Linked DNA regions of Canis lupus familiaris. The protein of the gene in region 5 purifies or fractionates together with the protein of the main gene of each other region. This does not show direct contact. Links are inferred from orthologs where the notes say so. Each region holds a gene or a part of one and is shown on either strand. Other genes may lie near its edges.

The links.
Region 1: the proteins of WWOX (region 5) and WBP2 purify together in Homo sapiens (affinity purification with mass spectrometry; 3 studies listed by BioGRID and IntAct, with this or other methods). This does not show direct contact. The link is inferred for Canis lupus familiaris from reciprocal best matches to the Homo sapiens genes WWOX and WBP2.
Region 2: the proteins of WWOX (region 5) and DVL2 purify together in Homo sapiens (affinity purification with mass spectrometry; 4 studies listed by BioGRID and IntAct, counting the BioPlex papers as one, with this or other methods). This does not show direct contact. The link is inferred for Canis lupus familiaris from reciprocal best matches to the Homo sapiens genes WWOX and DVL2.
Region 3: the proteins of WWOX (region 5) and VOPP1 purify together in Homo sapiens (affinity purification with mass spectrometry; 3 studies listed by BioGRID and IntAct, with this or other methods). This does not show direct contact. The link is inferred for Canis lupus familiaris from reciprocal best matches to the Homo sapiens genes WWOX and VOPP1.
Region 4: the proteins of WWOX (region 5) and ERBB4 purify together in Homo sapiens (affinity purification with western blotting; 4 studies listed by BioGRID). This does not show direct contact. The link is inferred for Canis lupus familiaris from reciprocal best matches to the Homo sapiens genes WWOX and ERBB4.

What each region holds. Positions count from the first base shown.
Region 1 is NC_049230.1:5,627,234-5,630,367, forward strand, and holds part of WBP2 (WW domain-binding protein 2), read left to right. Parts: coding exon 1-58; intron 59-1,340; coding exon 1,341-1,476; intron 1,477-2,779; coding exon 2,780-2,872; intron 2,873-3,134. UniProt on the Homo sapiens protein: Acts as a transcriptional coactivator of estrogen and progesterone receptors (ESR1 and PGR) upon hormone activation. In presence of estrogen, binds to ESR1-responsive promoters. Synergizes with YAP1 to enhance PGR activity.
Region 2 is NC_049226.1:32,405,981-32,409,956, reverse strand, and holds the start of DVL2 (segment polarity protein dishevelled homolog DVL-2), read left to right. Parts: upstream 1-1,165; 5' UTR 1,166-1,208; coding exon 1,209-1,402; intron 1,403-1,490; exon of another isoform or gene 1,491-2,427; intron 2,428-3,103; exon of another isoform or gene 3,104-3,704; intron 3,705-3,888; coding exon 3,889-3,958; intron 3,959-3,976.
Region 3 is NC_049239.1:6,497,045-6,501,030, reverse strand, and holds the start of VOPP1 (vesicular, overexpressed in cancer, prosurvival protein 1), read left to right. Parts: upstream 1-1,169; 5' UTR 1,170-1,283; coding exon 1,284-1,337; intron 1,338-3,986. UniProt on the Homo sapiens protein: Increases the transcriptional activity of NFKB1 by facilitating its nuclear translocation, DNA-binding and associated apoptotic response, when overexpressed. May sequester WWOX in lysosomal vesicles and thereby regulate WWOX role as tumor suppressor.
Region 4 is NC_049258.1:18,935,762-18,939,279, reverse strand, and holds part of ERBB4 (receptor tyrosine-protein kinase erbB-4), read left to right. Parts: intron 1-1,756; coding exon 1,757-1,903; intron 1,904-3,518. UniProt on the Homo sapiens protein: Tyrosine-protein kinase that plays an essential role as cell surface receptor for neuregulins and EGF family members and regulates development of the heart, the central nervous system and the mammary gland, gene transcription, cell proliferation, differentiation, migration and apoptosis.
Region 5 is NC_049226.1:72,857,119-72,859,667, forward strand, and holds the end of WWOX (WW domain-containing oxidoreductase), read right to left. Parts: intron 1,605-2,549; coding exon 1,416-1,604; 3' UTR 1,405-1,415; exon of another isoform or gene 631-1,404; 3' UTR 503-630; downstream 1-502. UniProt on the Homo sapiens protein: Putative oxidoreductase. Acts as a tumor suppressor and plays a role in apoptosis. Required for normal bone development. May function synergistically with p53/TP53 to control genotoxic stress-induced cell death.

The DNA.
Region 1 (3,134 bases), on a different chromosome or scaffold from region 5:
CGTGCCCGAGGCCTTCAAAGGGACCAAGAAAGGCACCGTCTACCTTACTCCTTACCGGGTGAGTTGCACAGTGATGGTGGGTTTGCAAGCCCATGGTTCCTGGAGGCCGATGTGAGTCTTATGTCAGCCTCAGCCTTATGGGTCCAGTGGCCCCTGAACCTGTGGCCAGCCCTCCCCATGTTTCTGTCATGTGCTCCCAGGTTCTAGAATCAGCAGACTCTGTGGGCAGCTGAACCAACCCCTGGGCATTGAATCCATGAAAATTCTGGAACCACTACTGTAAAATCTATGTTGTTGTGTGCAGCAGCTGGGGTGACTGGGGCCTGGGGCAGCAGGGGGCTGTTGTACCTTGATTTCTGTGAGAGCAGAAAGGGCCCACAAGGCCTTTGTACACATCCAGAGTGACAAGTACGGAAAACAGGACATAGTAGCATGGCCGGAGCCTCCAGTCTGGGCGGAAAGCCCAGCACAGCCCTGCAGAGCGAGAAGTGCCCAACTGCAGGATGGGCCTTGCCTGAGACTGAGCCAGGCCGACTGAGAGTCTTCCAGAGAAAGACAAATGGCCATTCTTAGAAAAGGTTCACTGCTTGTAGCTACCAAAAGTTAGATTTTTTTTTTTTTTAAGATTTTATGTATTTATTCGTGAGAGACAAAAAGGCAGAGGGAGAAGCAGGCTCCCTGCGGGGAGCCCGATATGGGACTCGATCCCAGGACCCCGGGATCACACCCTGAGCCGAAGGCAGACGCTCCACCACTGAGCCACCCAGGCGTCCCAAGAGTTAGATTTAAAGATGGTTGGAAGAGAGCGGCATATCTTTAAGGTTTTCATCACCGCAACTTAGAGACAAGGGAGCCTCAAAACCCCTTTTCTGGTGGCATCTTCAGTCACAGATTGAAGGGTTTAAAACGTAGTTTTCCAAGTGCAGGCTGGGAGACTTGCAGTTTGGGCAGCCCCCTTCTCCTGGGACCCAACACCCCCTACCTCTCCTTCACTCTGTTCTGTGAAGCTCAGGCTATGCCTCCCAGCCCCCTTCTGGAAGTCAGCACTGCCCTACCCTGCCCCCCTGCCCTAGCTTTACAGCTCCCCTCACTTGCGTACCACAGCCACCACTTAAACGGCAGAGCAGCCTGTCCCTCTCATGTGACCTGTGAGTGGTGTGTTTGTCTCGTGAACACCCACGTTCAGCCTCTCCAGCCAGGCCGCACGTAGGCCCTCTCACTTACAGAGCTCTCTCCGGAAGTGTCTGGTGCAGAGTGTGCCCTAGGGCTGCTGGGAAGTGATAATTGAGCGGGCTGGCCGTGGTGTGGCCACTGAAGGCTCTCTTCCTGTCTCCGTGCAGGTTATCTTTCTGTCCAAAGGAAAGGATGCCATGCAGTCTTTCATGATGCCATTTTATCTGATGAAGGACTGTGAGATCAAGCAGCCTGTGTTTGGTGCAAACTACATCAAGGGAACAGTGAAAGCTGAAGCAGGAGGTGGGTGAAGGGGGCTCAGGGCCACAGATGGGCTCTCAGGGAGGTGCTGGGGCACACCTCTACTGTCTCGGAGATATCCTCTTCCTCCTGGCTCTGGATTGGCTTCCAGGACCCAACCCTGGGCTGCGAGCTGGTCAGCAGGGGTGGGTTTTTGAATGACAAGAGCTAAGAAATCCTGACATTAAAAGCAGCTCATGTCACCTTTTCAGAGTGAAATCAGCCAAATGACTGAAAAATAAATGCTTACCGTAACCGGGGAGCATGTTCACATTCTAGGTATGGGAAACGACGTGTCAGACTCTCAGAAATGGTCTTTTTTTTTTTTTTTTTTTTAAGATTTTATTTATTTGGGATGCCTGGGTGGCTCAGCGGTTGAGCGTTTTGTCTTTGGGTCAGGACGTGATCCTGGAGCCCCGGGATCGAGTCCCACGTCGGGCTCCCTGCATGGAGCCTGTTTCTCCCTCTGCCTGTGTCTCTGCCTCTCCCTCTCTCTCTTTCTGTGTCTCTCATGAATAGATGAAATCTTTAAAAAAAAAAAAAAAAGGATTTGATTTATTTATTCACGAGAGATACAGAGAGAGAGGCAGAGACACAGGCAGAGGGAGAAGCAGGCCCTGTGTGGGGAAACCAATGTCGGACCCGATCCTGGGACCCTGGGATCACGCCGAGCCAAAGGCAGACGCTCAACCACTGAGCCACCCAGGCGTCCCTCAGGAATGGTCTTTTCTAGAGCCAGGAAGAGCCAGCGGCCCCTCTGCCTCCTGGAGAGGCCCTGCTTGGCAGCAGGCTCTTCTGCAGACACCAGAGACCTCTGTGTTAAACTTGGCCTCCCCCTTCCACCCAGCCAGGTGGCCTTGCTCTCTAGAGACTCATGGTTCCCCTTTGGCAGAAGCCAGGCTGGAGGAGCGGGGGGCCCATCCTTAGGCCCCTCAGGAGGAGAGAGATGCTCTGAACTTGAATGTCACTTGTTGCTGAGGAAACCTGCTCTGGGGAAGCTGCCTCATTGATGAGTGGGAGGCTCTCGCTGAGGAACTTATACAGCTGGGGGTGGGATAACAAGTTCCAAGAAAGAAAAGCCCCCTGTTCGAGAGAGTGAAGCAGGCAGGAGCAGAAGACAGGCCAGCCTGCAGCGGGCACATGCTGTGTGGGCAGCGCACCAGAAGCAGCCTGGCGGGAAGGCAGGCACTGCAGAGCCAGCCCTCTCCCCACGGGCACTGGAAGGAGACCTGTAGGGAACAGAGCCATCTCTTCAGCTGTAATCTGTGTTTTTTCCTGAGCCAGTAATGCCCTGTTCCCCTCCCAGGTGGCTGGGAAGGCGCTGCGTCATACAAGTTGACCTTTACGGCAGGGGGCGCCATCGAGTTTGGACAGCGGATGCTACAGGTGGCATCTCAAGGTATCCCGGCTCTGAAAGTGCGGGGTGAAAACATATATTGGAAACCTGTGGGTTTTAGTTTGTTCATTTGAGTTTGTTTACTTTTTGTTACTAAGCTAAGTCTCTGGGCCCCGGGCCGACCGAGGCTGGGAATTGGGAAGGAAGCTTGTCATTAGCTTGTCACTGTGGCCTGTATCTCAGAGGCTGGGTTACCCTGTCTGGAGCCTGGATAGGACATCTTGACACAGCTCTTTGGACTCCGAGACGTTTTACTGTGGCCTTA
Region 2 (3,976 bases), about 40 Mb from region 5:
CTTATCTTTCCTTCCCGCCTTGTGGACTTGAATATGGACCTGCTGCAGTTGGGGGTGAGAGGCTGGTCCCTAGACACATAATTTCTGTTCCTTAGACCTGCCACCCTTCGCTTTCTGGGCCAGGGTTGGAATTGGGGTGGAATGGGACAGCTGGCTATAAAACTCTAGTGTAAATAGAGCACTCCCCTTCTTCATCTTTTCTTTTATCTCCCCATTTATTCTACACCGGTTGTATTTTTAATTTTGGACTTCCCCTTTTGGGCAGGGCAGCTCGGAGGTGGAGTACCAACCAGGGTCTGGCCAAGGGAGGAAGGAAAACAGGTGACGATATGTTCGCTCACCTCTTTTGTTTTTAATAATATTGGCCAGCTGTTTGTACAGACAGCCTGCGTGTTGTAAATAAAGCAGAGTGGGCTCTTTTGTGTTTATAGCCCTCCCTGACTGTCCTGCTTGGGTGGGGGCGCGGTGGAAAAGCAGAAGGCGCGGGGGGCTGAAGCCCACCTCCAGAGCAGAAAACCACCCGGCTCTGCGCGCCCCCACCCCCCAGCTCCCCAGACCCCCGCCCCCAGCCTGGCCCTCAGTCGGCTTGCTTCCACCGGGCACCCCAGCCCAGGACCCCCATCCTATCTCCCAACACGCACGCTCCAGGGAATCAGCGTTGTTTGGAGCTCTCCGCCCGAGTGGGGCCAAACGGGATGGGTACCGGTGGCCAGGCCCCCCGAAGGCCAGTGCCGGCCTCCGCCGGGGTGCTCGGAGGACGCGGGTGGGGACACATTTGGGGGCGGGGCCGTCGAGGGCTAGGAGACCGTTGCTGAAAGCAATGATCACGTGGCGCTGGCACTGGGCGGAGCCTGTAGGTCACGTGGTCGGTGGAGTCACGTGACGGAGGGCGGGCCGCCGCGGACCACGTGACATGGGGAGAGGTGGGCGGGGTGCTGCAGGGCGCCCGCGACGTCGGCGGCGGTGGCGCGCGGTGGCGGCGGCGACGGCGGCCGAGTCTGCGGCATCGGGTCGAGCCCTCCGGCCCGCCCCCTTCCCTTCCGTCGGCCGCCACCCCGCTGATCCCCGCCGCCTTCCCGCCGCGCCTTTCCGGCGCCCGGCTGATCGTGTCCGCGCTCGCGCGGCGGGGTGCGGGTGTGCGCAGGCGCGGTGGGGGCGCTTCGCCCGGTTGGGTGGGCGGCGGGACCTGGGAGCGCGCGGGCGAGACCATGGCGGGCAGCGGCGCGGGGGGCGGCGGCGTCGGGGAGACGAAGGTGATTTACCACCTGGATGAGGAGGAGACTCCCTACCTGGTGAAGATCCCGGTTCCGGCGGAGCGCATCACCCTCGGTGATTTCAAGAGCGTCCTGCAGCGGCCCGCGGGCGCTAAGTACTTTTTCAAGTCTATGGATCAGGATTTCGGGTGAGCGCGAGGCCTAGGCTGGAACCGGTGGGGGCTGCGCGGCGGTGGATCGGCCACTGCTGAGGGGCACAGGTCGGCCCTAGGCCACGCTGGGTTTTTCTGGGCTGGAGTGCTGGACAGGGCATTATGCGGGGGTTAGATTGGGCATCCCAGGTTGGGTAAGGTTACGCTTGGACAAATCGAGACGCACGGAGCTCCAGGACGACACACCGGGCCGTGCCGAACCAGATCAGGAAAGATTAGGCTGTCCTGGAATAGAATGGGGCACACTGGTTTATTTGGGAGTTATTCTGGGTAATCCGATGCCTTTCGAGCAGTCCTGCGGCCCACGGGCAGTATTGTGGAATCTCCCGATGATTGGGCCGTGTTGGGGTGCTTTAGGGCATTCTAGACCATCCTAGAGCAGATAAGATTGTTTGGGGACATCTGGCCTGTTCTGGTGCAGAAAAGGGTGTGTTGGGATGTTCTAGGCTGCTTTGGAGCAGATTACCAGGCTCTCTCGGAAGAATTTCCTGCTCTTCTGTCTCTTCTGGGTTGTGTTGGTTGATCTTAAGTTTCTGTTGGGGTCAAGTGTTTCATGGGGACGCTCTGTAGAGAGGCAGACAAGGTTTTTGAGGCTATGCCAGTGCAGACAGCTGTATTGGGATAATCTGGTCTATATTGGTATGGACGGCTGCGTGTGGAGACGTTGTAGGTCATTGCTAAAATAGCCCAATATGGCTATTCTGGAGTGTTTGGAGTCATTCTGGGCCAGACTTGGATTCTTAATAATAAATTTGCTTATGGTTTTTGAGGCTGAGTTCTCCAGGTAGCCAGCCTCAGCTCTTGAAGGCAGGCTGGATTGGCCTGAGACAGCCCATGTTCTGGGATAGCTGAATGGACTGGCTTCTACTGAGAAAGACCGTTGGCCGTGAGGAAGGTGGGACTGTGTTGGGAGTTACCTTTGATTTAGATCGAAATTCCTGTTTGTTAGCAATGATATGACCCAGGAGATAGACACAGTTGGCACAAGAAACTTCGTATAGGTAAGCGATGCACAGTAATTTTTTAGCGAGTTGTGATGATCGCTAGCGTCGAGCTCAGCTAATCTGTAAACGGGGTTATGGTGATAGAGAGTGGAATCATTTGCCGGGCTGGGCTCCGCCGGGACTGGGTTACATCTCTAAGAATCCAGCATTATATCGAGACAGAGCAGTGGTAGGGATTGGGCTGAGTGGCCCTATCGATAACAAGTGGGATTAAGTTGTCACGCATCCAGGCTCCTAGAACCATATTAGGGTAAAGGGTTAATCAGACAGGCTGTCCTAATTTGGAGGTGAGGATGTGAGTATGAGAGAGACCTTCTGTTCAATACTCAGTCTCTCAGAGCTCGTGTTTGTTCATGAGATACTTGTTCAACAAGTATACTCGTTAACAGTATTGAACAGATATTTATTAACATTCACTTTACCACCATCAGGGTCTTTGCTGTGTGGCCAGGATGCAGTGTTGAACAGAATAGGCTGTGGTGGGATCCCTGGGTGGCGCAGCGGTTTGGCGCCTGCCTTTGGCCCAGGGCGCGATCCTGGAGACCCGGGATCGAATCCCACATCAGGCTCCCGGTGCATGGAGCCTGCTTCTCCCTCTGCCTATGTCTCTGCCTCTCTCTCTCTCTCTCTCTGTGACTATCATAAATAAATAAAAATTAAAAAAAAAAAAAAAGAAAAAAGAAAAAAAAAGAATAGGCTGTGGTGATCCCACGTGGTGGTTGAGAAGAAGGGGCAAAGTCCTGTCCATCCCAAGGAACCCAGGGGAGGAATGACCCCAAGGCTGGGCTTTGAGGTCCGTCAGGCAGAACAGGTTGCTCAGTGTAGAATTTTGTGCCAGATGAGCCCCGGGGGAAGGGGAAGGTGGGCTTCACCTCTCCTTGGGAGTGCTCAGCCTAGCCAGTAGGTGTCATCCTTGGGTCTCATGGGTATATTTTCGTGGGGGAAAGGTAGCATGTTGGGCTAGGGCTTTGGACATGACTCAGAGAAAACCAAGAAAGCATGAGAATAGAGACTTTGGAGGGTTTGGGGACGGTGCCTTGAGGAGCGGGGTAGGGCTCAGGGAGGTTTGGGGTCATTCTGGGCTGTTAGAGACACCAAAGGTTAGAGATCTTTGGGGCAGTTGGGGTCACCTGAGGGAGTGGGACGGTCGTTGAGATTGGAGAATGAGGTTTGACTCAGACTCTAGGAAATCTTTGGACCAGCATAGGAAATCTTTGGACCAGCATTGAAAGCCGAGGATGAGCTGGGGAGAGGAGGAGGAGGAAGGAAAGGGGGTGAGTGAATTTGGAGACTCCCGGGGCATGAGAGTGAAGTGTCTCGGTGTTGGGGAAGAGGGCCTGGCCGGCTGCATGAAAGTCATCGTCCTTGAGCTGGACGAAGATGAGAAGCCTCGAGTCGGGGTGCGTGTGGGGGGCGCTAGGGCGATCTCACTGGTTCTTGTGTTGTCCCTCCTGGCAGGGTGGTGAAGGAGGAGATTTCAGATGACAACGCCCGCCTTCCCTGCTTCAACGGGAGGGTGGTGTCCTGGGTAAGCAGCCCTGTCCAT
Region 3 (3,986 bases), on a different chromosome or scaffold from region 5:
GAGAGTCCAAAGACTCTTGGTGGGCCTGTCTGATGGGTGCCCTTACCGTGACGATAAAGCCCACAGTCATCTTTCCTGCTCGTCTTGCAAGTTTTGGTTCTAACAGGGACAGTCCAGTGCTGCATATGTTAAAGTCATCAGATGAGTACACGTGACGAAGACCAGAAAGCGTCAGGGACTAGTCTTAGGTGCTGTGTGTTTCCATGACTCCCTCCTCTACGTCCAGTCACGGGGAGGCTCCCGTCCTTTCTGCTCCTCGGTCACCCTTGAGCCTGGGTCCCGCCGCTCAGCGCCCTGCAAGCGACGATCCCTTTAAACGTCATGAATTAAGTTTTCTTGCCCACCTCCGTACCTGGCCCTCCAGCTCGGGGTCTGTCCATCTCACAGGTTCACACGAATGCTTGTTGAATGACTGCCCCGAGGACTTGGGATCTGACTCACGCGGTGAAAACAATACGGTGGGTGGTGGGTGGGAGGTAGTGGAGGTGGGGAGGGGCTGCAGCAGAGCCCGAGGACATCCCAGACCCGGCCACCGTGGGGCCACCTGTGGCGGGGTGTAGGCCGGGCCGGGAGGAGGACGCAGAGCTCGAAGCACCGGCATCTACACCGGGGGCGCGGTGCAAGGAGCCCTTTAGTCACGGCCTGTCGCCCTCGCCCCAGGCCGTCCCCGGGGCGCCCGCGGTTGGTGGGAATCGGCGGGAGAGCGACGCACGGAGGCCGGGGATGCTGCGGGTCCACCGACAGCGCCCCCCAAACGGGCTCCCCCACGCGAAGACTTCGCCTCCTTCAGCGATCTTGCCGGGTCTATTCAAAGGTGACAGGGCGGGCTCCGCCGGGGCCCGAGCCACCCGCCAGCTCGTCCCCGGCTCGCCGGGCCTCGGGGCCCCCGGCTCGGCTCGGGAGGGCGGCGCGGGCTGGGAGCCGGTGCCCGCGGGCGCGCGCCCAGGAGGGCGGGGCGGGGCCGGGGGCGGGGCGCGGGGGCGGGGCGAGGGCGGAGCCGGGAGCGCGCGGGGGTGGAGCCCGGAGCCCGGAGCGCGGGGGGCGGGGCGGGGCGGGGCGGGGCCGGGGGGGGGGCGGGGCGCGGCCGGGGCTGCGCGGCGAGGGCTGCACGGCGCCACCAGGCTCCGCGCCCACCCGCCCGCCCGCCGCCCCGCGCCCCGCAGCCCCGCCGTCCGCGGCCTGAGCCCCGCCGCTGCTCCGCTGTGGCGCTCACCGCTCGGGCCCGCGCTGCTGACCTGCGCCCGCGCCCCGACAGCAGCGCACCCCGGAGAGGACCCGGAGCCATGGGCCGCCTGCCCCGGAGGGTGGCGGCGCTGCTGCTCGGGCTGCTCGTGGAGGTAGGGGCCGAGGCCGGGCCGCGCCGCCCCGGGCGCCTCGCAGCTGCGCCGCCGAGCGCGAACAATGCCGGGCTGCGCGGGTGCGGGGCGCGGACGCCCCGAGGACCACCTGTGCGGACCCGAGAGGCGGGCGGCGGCGGGCGGCGGCGGGCGGCCTCGCGGACCTGCGTGTGCGGGCGCCCGACGGCCCCTCCGGCCTGCCCCGGCTCCCGGGCCTCCCCGCCCGCGCCCCTGCCCGTCTCCCCCACGGCCCTTCCCCCGCGCTGCGGGGCTGCTCGCGGCGGCCGGGGAGACCCAGGTGTGGCCTTTGAGCCTCGCACCGCGAGCGCCGCCGAGGAGCGCGGGGTGGTGCCCGCGGGGTGGTGCCCGGGGGCCGGGGGCCGGGGGCCGGGGGCGGTGCAGGCGCGGGCGGGGCTGGAGGCTGGAGGCTGCGGGGTGGGGCGGCTCGGCGGCCGGCGGTGCAGGTGCGACCCCGCGGGCGCCGCGCCCCGGGCCCTGGGCCGCCGCCGCCCCGGGACGTGGGGTCAGGTGGAGCGCGGGCTTCAGGTCCCGGCGAGAAATCCCTCGGAGACTTGGGTGCTGGGCGCGGTTCGCTGGAGCCTGGGGGGGGACTCGCCGCGGGGGAGGGTGGGAGCGCCCCTCGTGCCCTCGCCCCCGCCCACCCCGCGCGCCCCGGGCCTGGAAGGTCGCGCCCCCGAGGTGGGGGGGGGCTCCCCGTCTTTGCTCAAGCAGGTTCTTTGCAATGTGAGCTGATAGGATCCTCTGGGGTGTGGAGTCTGGATTAGGGTTCACGCAACTCCCTGCTCAGCTGCATTGTTTTGGAGGAAATTTGCCTTAAATCAATGACATCGGAGTTAAATGGGTGGTGAACGCTGACGCCCCTTTCTGTCTTTTCCATTCCAGAGGGTTGGAGAACTCTTTAATATTGGGTGTCTGTGCTGGAAGTGACTTGGCTTTCTTAGCTGATTAAAAAATAATTATCAGGGAATGTTGGGAGGGAGCTTGTTCTTGGCACTAGGAAGGGAGGTTGATGGAAAAGCTTCTTGCGCCAGGCTGACTTTTTATTTTTGTTTATTTTGTTCTTAATATCCCTCTGGCTTGATATATGTTTTTTTGCGGGGTGCCTCTTCGCTTGCATTCTTTGCATTTGGTCAGAATTTTAAGACCTTAGAGATCACATCCCGGCCGTGACGCACCAGACAGAGCTATGGAGAAGTGAGTCTGAGACAACTGTTTACCTAAAACCCAATGCATCTGTACTTATGAATGCAAGGCCCCCTCCCAATCCCCTTTTAAAATCAGCTCTTGATAAAATTTTATATCCCACTGCCTGGCTTCCTCTAGGTCTTCAGTGTATGTGGTGCTGTGCCCTGTTATGTAGTCAAGACTGCTTCAGGGACCCAGTTCTTTCCAACGAAGCTGTTTTGTTGCATAGGAATTTATCATCTTAATAGGGTGTTCAGATCATGTCTGGAAAGTTGACACGATCTCAAAGGCACAACTGTGACAGCAGGGAAACTGAAATGACTGGGCTGGTGCTTTCACAAGTCAAATAGCTAGATAACTGGTAATTTTTGTCTTTAATGGGATCGTGTGGTGTAGCTCACTTTTACAAGATTGTCCTAAGCACCTATTTTGTTTCTGGTGGAGAGGTGTCTGAGGAATTAAGGAGATTTTTTTTTTTTTTGTATTTCATCACATGGGATTTTATCCGTGAAATAGATGCTGAGATGTTTTCATCTAAAATTGGCTGTTGTCAGAGCATCTTTGATGCTATTGAAGTCCTGAATCACATACATAAGTGGGCAATCACAGTGGCCAAGTATGTGAGGAGGCAAAGGGTTCTCTTTACGTTAAGCACATAAAACTATTGATGGGGCCCTTCGGTGGCCTCTGACGGCCACCTGCAACCCGGGATAGTTGCCTCTGTTTCTTTGTTCTGCTTGCCCCGGTTCAATTGTAGTTGTAGTGTGGTTGATTATATACTAGCTGGCAGCGGTTATTCTGTTCCAGCCCCGCAGCACTCTCTTCCCAGCCAGCACCCAGGACCGGGCAGAGAGGTTTTATTTATTCCGGCAAGAGGCCTCTGAGTAGAGGGGGAAACTAGAAACTGTTCTGAGAAGGGCTTTCCTCCCATCTCACCATCTCTTTATAGAAATTCACTTACCTAGGAGACACAAAGACTGCATATTTGTTTTTTACTTATCAGACATTTATAGAGTGCTTACCCTGTGTCAAGCACTGTTCTAAGCACTTTACAAATATTAACTGATTACAAATAGTAGCTCAGCCATTACTTTTATTCTCATTTTTATTTCAAATGGAAGATGTTATAAAGAACTTGTCCACAGTCTCACTGCTGTTAAATGTGAAGGACTTGGGACATAAACCCAGGTAGTCGGGCTCCACCTCACCATGCTGCACTGCTGGCTTTAGACATGGGAAGAATTTGCACATAGTATGTCCTGAAACCAGAGGTGGGCTTAGAGAGATATGTGTTCCATGAAACAGGTAAACTAGCAAAATATGTTCTAGGAACTCCCTCCACTTCCTTAGGGGAACCATATACTGTACTGTTCAACTGTGACACTTAGGAAAATGAAATGGGGGGCTCCTAATACCTGCCTGCATGGCAGGCACCCATCAACA
Region 4 (3,518 bases), on a different chromosome or scaffold from region 5:
CATAGATAGATAGATAGATAGATAGATAGATAGATAGATAAATACTCTGCTTTGAAACATAGCCCAGGTCATCAACCCATATCTATAAGGCATTTTAAGATTTTTATGATATATCATAGTTGATTGCAAAAGGTATACAAGGCAAAGAGAAACACAATATTTAAAATGCACCTTTGTGGCAAATTGCCACTGGATGCATCTTTATTTTTATAAAAATAAATATGTATTAGCTATGGTTTATAGGTTCAAATGACAGAATTGTAAGTTTTGAGGATGTTTCTGGTTCAGTTTTTCTGAGATTGTCCCTCTGCATGAAGCCATCTCTGTTTAACCCTATCTTGCGTTCATTCCTGCAAGGATAGAGTTGGATTGCTCTTGGCAGAGGTGGGGGTTTTGCTGTTCCTGCTTTTGTTTTTGTATTTATGTGTTTATTATATTTTCCATCATTTTGATTTGTAATTGGATTGCATTTTGTTTATATTGGAAGTTCTGATAGAGATGTGAGTGTCTATTCTTTTATAACTGCATATATAAGTTAACAAAATATCCTCATCAAATACATGTTCTGTAAATATGTATTTATATTGACTGACTGAATATAGATGGACAGCCATCCACTTCTTAACTTGTTCCAGCCTGTCTCATGGACACTGAATTTTAATTATTGGTTCTACAGAGCCATTCCTTAATGTGCAAAATTAAGTAGGATTTAAACAAGATCAAACACTTAAATTGTGTCACTAGTTACATTTTTACATTATATTTAAAACTCATAAGATTTAAAAAATAATAAGCAAAATCAGGTAACCATGGCAATAATTAGGTAATAAGGATATTATAAAGTATAATTTGAAGATCACATATACTTTTATATTTTAAGCTTTGTATTTTTATTAGTAGTCAATGATAAGTATTATGAGCTAAAAAAAGACTTCAGTTTGAATAAATAATTATTACAGATGGAAGTAAAAAAAACATAGTCCTAATTAATGGATTTTACATAAAAATATGCTTTGTATGCTATGTGAACCAATCAAAATTCATTGGTAAAACTCTTACACACAGCTATTTCTGAATGTACAAGCCTACCCTTAAGAAATGGTGACTTTTTAATTGTATAATTATGAGATCATAAAGAGGAGTATAGGGTATATTTTCTTGTTCAAATTAGAATCATTATATTTTTAAGCATTTTATTTATTCATGAGAGAGAGAGGCAGAGACACAGGGAGAGGGAGAAGCAGGCTCCATGCAGGGAGCCGGACATGGGATTTGATCCCCGGTCTCCAGGATCACACCCTGGGCCAAAGGTAATGCTAAACCGCTGAGCCACCCGGGCTGCCTTCATTAAAAATTTCAAGACAATAATATGATAGTAGAATTTCCCATAAAGATTTTGTCATTGGGCTTCTTCTAATGGACATAGAAATCTGAAGAGCCTTTCTTTAGACTATTTTTTTAAATTTATTTATGTATTTGAGAGAGAGAGTAGAGGAGGAGGGCAGAGTCTTAAGCAGATGCCACATTGAGTGAGCACAGATCCTGATGCGGGGCTCAATCCCACCATCCTGAGATGACAACCTCAGCCAAAGCCAAGAGTCTGAATGCTTAATGGATTGTGTCACCCAAGCGCCCTCCCTCTTTAGACTATTTTTGACTGCCTTTCTAAGGAGCTTTCTTTTGTCACTGGCATACAGCTGGTTTCTTCGAAGAGTGTTGTTAATATGCTTATGTAAATATTTGATCTCCAATTTAGGAGTCACTATATGGGAACTGATGACATTTGGAGGAAAACCCTACGATGGAATTCCAACCCGAGAAATCCCTGATTTATTAGAGAAAGGAGAACGTTTGCCGCAGCCTCCTATCTGCACTATTGACGTTTACATGGTCATGGTCAAATGTAAGATTGCAAAATAATTTTATCATCACCATCATCATGCTTAGTAAAGTAATAGTATGGATTAATCTACCTGCATAATGTTTTTTGATATTGAAAAATATGAAAGTTCAAAATAATTATGAAAAAAGATCATGTAAACACCTGTGTTTGTGTGCTTATTGTTAATAGGAAGCAATATGCGTGCTTCCACGTTATAAAGTCAAAATTTTATGACTCTTCCTCTTCTGATTCATTTCACTTTGAATCTTATCATTTCCATGACAATCAAATTGTCTTTCATAAAGAGATGTAATTAGTCACAATAATGTTAGTCATCTTTATAGGAAAATAGCAGTCTAAACAAATGGTTTAAATACAAAGGGAGAAAGCTTGAAACTGATAGTTTAAAAAAATGAATTAAATGGAAATAGGTTTACCAATTTTAGTCAACAGGAAATTAGCAGAGCAGAATGGGAAATGGAAAGACGTGAATCTACAGTGAAAAAGATTATGAATGCTTACTTTTTTCGATTTGATCATTTGTTTACATCAAATGCTCTTTTCTTCCTCCTTTCTATGCCCCAGACACATATGTATTATAAATGTGTTTTGGCAGCCTAGGCTCTTAATTTAAATAGAATTAGAGAAGTCTCTGGAGTTTCCTACTTAATTTAAGTGAGATTAACATTCAGCAATCTTTCTTGTGTAATCTGGGGTTTTCCCCTTTTGATTTACACAGGGTTAGCAAAGAAACAAACTGGTGAAGGTGAATAAGCATCTTATTAATAAGAGACTTTGGACCCAGATCCACTCAGATTTATATTCATGACATGTGTGATACATTCTGACAGTAAGGAAGAAATAAAAAATGTGCTTTCCAGTTCAGGTCAGCATGCCCTTTTCTCTAAGCATAGTTCTATTTACTCAATATTTAGTTAGAAAGATACTGATACCTCCCGGCGAAGTTAACCTTTTTTGATTCCAATAGTTCCAGAAATACCTATTTTCTCATTAGCATTTTTTTTTGTAAGTGAATGCATATAGTTGAGCTTTGTTAAGAGAGAAAAAATGCAGGTGATACTAATGATACATGAAATGACACACACAGACTTCCCAGAACAAGAATAAAAATTGAACTCCTGGAAAAGGGAAACAAACCTTATAGCTTTATTGGATCAAACATCATTCAGGAGTCATCTATGGAAGGAACTTTAAAAACATGCATGCATTATATAATTTGATCTCATAACTAGCATCAGAGGTAATTTAAAATACTTTGTTTAGATACTCTGATGAAACAATGAAAAAAATCAGGAAAATATTTTGCCTAATAGAGTTTTACCTTGCTTTTGTGAATTTTAATACTTAAGAAGACAGTCATTTGGCAAGAAAATCAAGGAAAGCTTGGTGCTTTAATTTTTGTGATCTCACCAGCTAAACAGTGCCTGGGGAGATGGGACCCACTTTATCTAGAGTCCCAGCTAAATAATAATACATACCTTGAAAATTGCTGATAGTATTTTTATGCTGCAAAGGCTAGTACTTAGATAAGCTAATGGCTATTGCTGAACAAGCATTACCCATAACTTTGCATTTTCTTTTTCCCCACCAGGAAAGAGGTGGCACAAGAAAGTTG
Region 5 (2,549 bases):
ACAATCCTACCACCTGGTATTTCCTGGCATTTCAGCAAAAGCATTCTATCAGGCCAAGGTCGACTTCCTTACATCCCTGATGGAATGGGAAAAGGGGTTAGCTGGAAAGAGACCCCAGTTGCCCCCATTCTGATGCATAGAGAGACTGTCTAGTCTCCAAGAACTTGATAATTACAGGGGGAGAAAACCACTGAGGCCCGTAAGAACCCACTAGAAGTAATAACAAAACCTCTTAAGGTGAAATTAAACGATAGTCATTTTTTTCTCTTTCTCTCTTTCTCTAACAGAAAATATGATGCTGGCATGCTAATCGCGAGAGACAACTTGGCCCACGGACAGCCACAAAGCACAAAAACAAAACAAACTCCGAGAAGAAACAAGAGCGGTGTTTTCCTGGCATCTACAAGAAGCGCTTTATTTTTCCTCTAGATTTCTTTTCTAAAAAAACAAAACAAAACAAAAAACAAAACTGAGACAAACATTTAAAGAGACAGTGCACAACTTCAGGTGATCATATTCAAGCATGTTCTTTTATTAAGCGTTGGACGGGAGGAGAGGAAGTGGAAGCGGAACGCTCGAGCAGGATGACGGGGAGGCACTGAGCCTCCACGGTCGGGATGCTTCTGGAAACTGTAAATGTAGAGTGAACGGAACAACTTTTTATCCTCTGCCCCCCAAATATCCTGTATATGCTCATGGATGCAATGCTTCCTTTCTTGCCTGCCAAGGTATCTAGGGAATGATTTGCAAAATTCGTTTGTTATCCTCTCTGAAGAATTTTTTTTGTGCAGCTTTGGCGAGGGGGTCGGTGGGCCAACCCTCTGGCGACCCACCCGCTCTGTGTATCCCACCCATTTCTAAGTGTCACCTCCCTCTTGGCTGGCTGGATCAGGGGTCTGAGAGCTCTCTCCCCTGGTCACTGCCATGCCCACTCAGACTTGGTCAGGGTGAATGACAGGATGAACACTCGCCTCTTCTTCCCTGCACAGACGAAGGCCAGCTCCTGGCTACAGTGAGGCCACGGCAGGCTGTGCTTGTGGGGGTGGCCGGGGGAGGGGGGGGGACACCTGGCTTTTTGAAACAGTGCTGCAGAATTGCTTGGGCTTCCCCTGTGAGACAAGGAACCTGCACACCACCTAAACAGGCCACCGACAGGAAAGCAAAGAGACTTGCCAGCCTCACCCAGCCCCAGAGAAGAGAGATTGTCCCCTTGGCCCTGCAATTCCCTGCTTCCCGTGGGTACTTGACATTTTTTCACTATGTTGTGACTACTCTTATTTCCTTTGCTCTGGCGGATCTGAGTCGAGGGGGGTGGGGGGGGACAGGGGGACGTGGAAAGCCCCCGGATAAGTGGTTGGCGGGGGGCCAGCGTTGGCAGCGGGGTGGGTGTGCGCGGATGCTCACCGGAGCTCCCCTTAGCCCGACTGGCCGCCAAGCCCTTCCTGGATCAGCCTCTCGCTGAGCGCCCACAGGGCCCGGGCCGTCTCTTCGCTCTGAGCCTCGGCGGACGGCATGCAGCGGCAGCAGTTGTTGAAGTACATCCCTCCCAGGCCCTCAAGCTCCGGAGCCGCAGCACAGTAGACGGTCGTGGCAGCTCCTTGTTGCTGGAAATCAAAGAAAAGAGACCCAAAAACAATTTTTTTTTTTCTTTTTAAAAGAAGTGATGAGCTGACTTCATCCTGTCTGGGGATTAGCAGACCCTGCCCCGCCTGGCCCGGAGACACCTGGATCTCGGCTCGGCAGAGGGTACCGAGCCCAGCAGGTGACCATACAAGGTGTGATGTGACCATCCTGTGAAAGCAAGTTCATCAACTTGGCTGCAACTTTTTACACCTTGTAGAGGTAAAGGCTTTGAAAATAAATACGCAGTATCAGTCACATCAAAAGTCTCTTCTGAGCAAGACGGCATCCTTTTGAACACACAAGAACAAATTCATCCAAACCGCTGACTTCTCAATGCATGATATAATCTGACACCAAGACGTTTCTAGAACCTTCTGTCTGAATTAAACCAACCACTCTGATGATGGCCCATCAGATAGAAAACCCAGAGAGGGACTGGTGCCAGACCTTTCCTTTCTTTTGTTGCCCACAGTGCTGCTAGGGGACGAGTCTGCAGTGCTGTGTGACACTGTGCTGTGTTAAGACACACATATACATGTACTCCATGCCATGTACATACATGCCTCATGCAGACACCGGATACGCGTGTTAATTCATCCAGATCCTGTGCAAACCTGTTTGTAAATGTCGTAGTCACCCTGTATTTGCAATGGGACAGTGACTAAGGGGGTACATTTCCTCCCAGCCCACTTCAAATTGTAAGTTGCAAAGAGTGCGATTGATTACTTTCGATTCACCTTTTGAGTAACAGTTGGTGCTGTGGCTAGGGATGTGTGTGCCGGTGGGGCACCATATCATCCCGCTGACACAATGCTGTCAGGGATGCCGTAAAGAGGGCAAGAAATCACTTTGCTTTGCAAGCCATAATTAAAAATAATAGGCTGGTGTTCATGGGGAGACATGGTAGGCACGCCTCTAATTTAAAA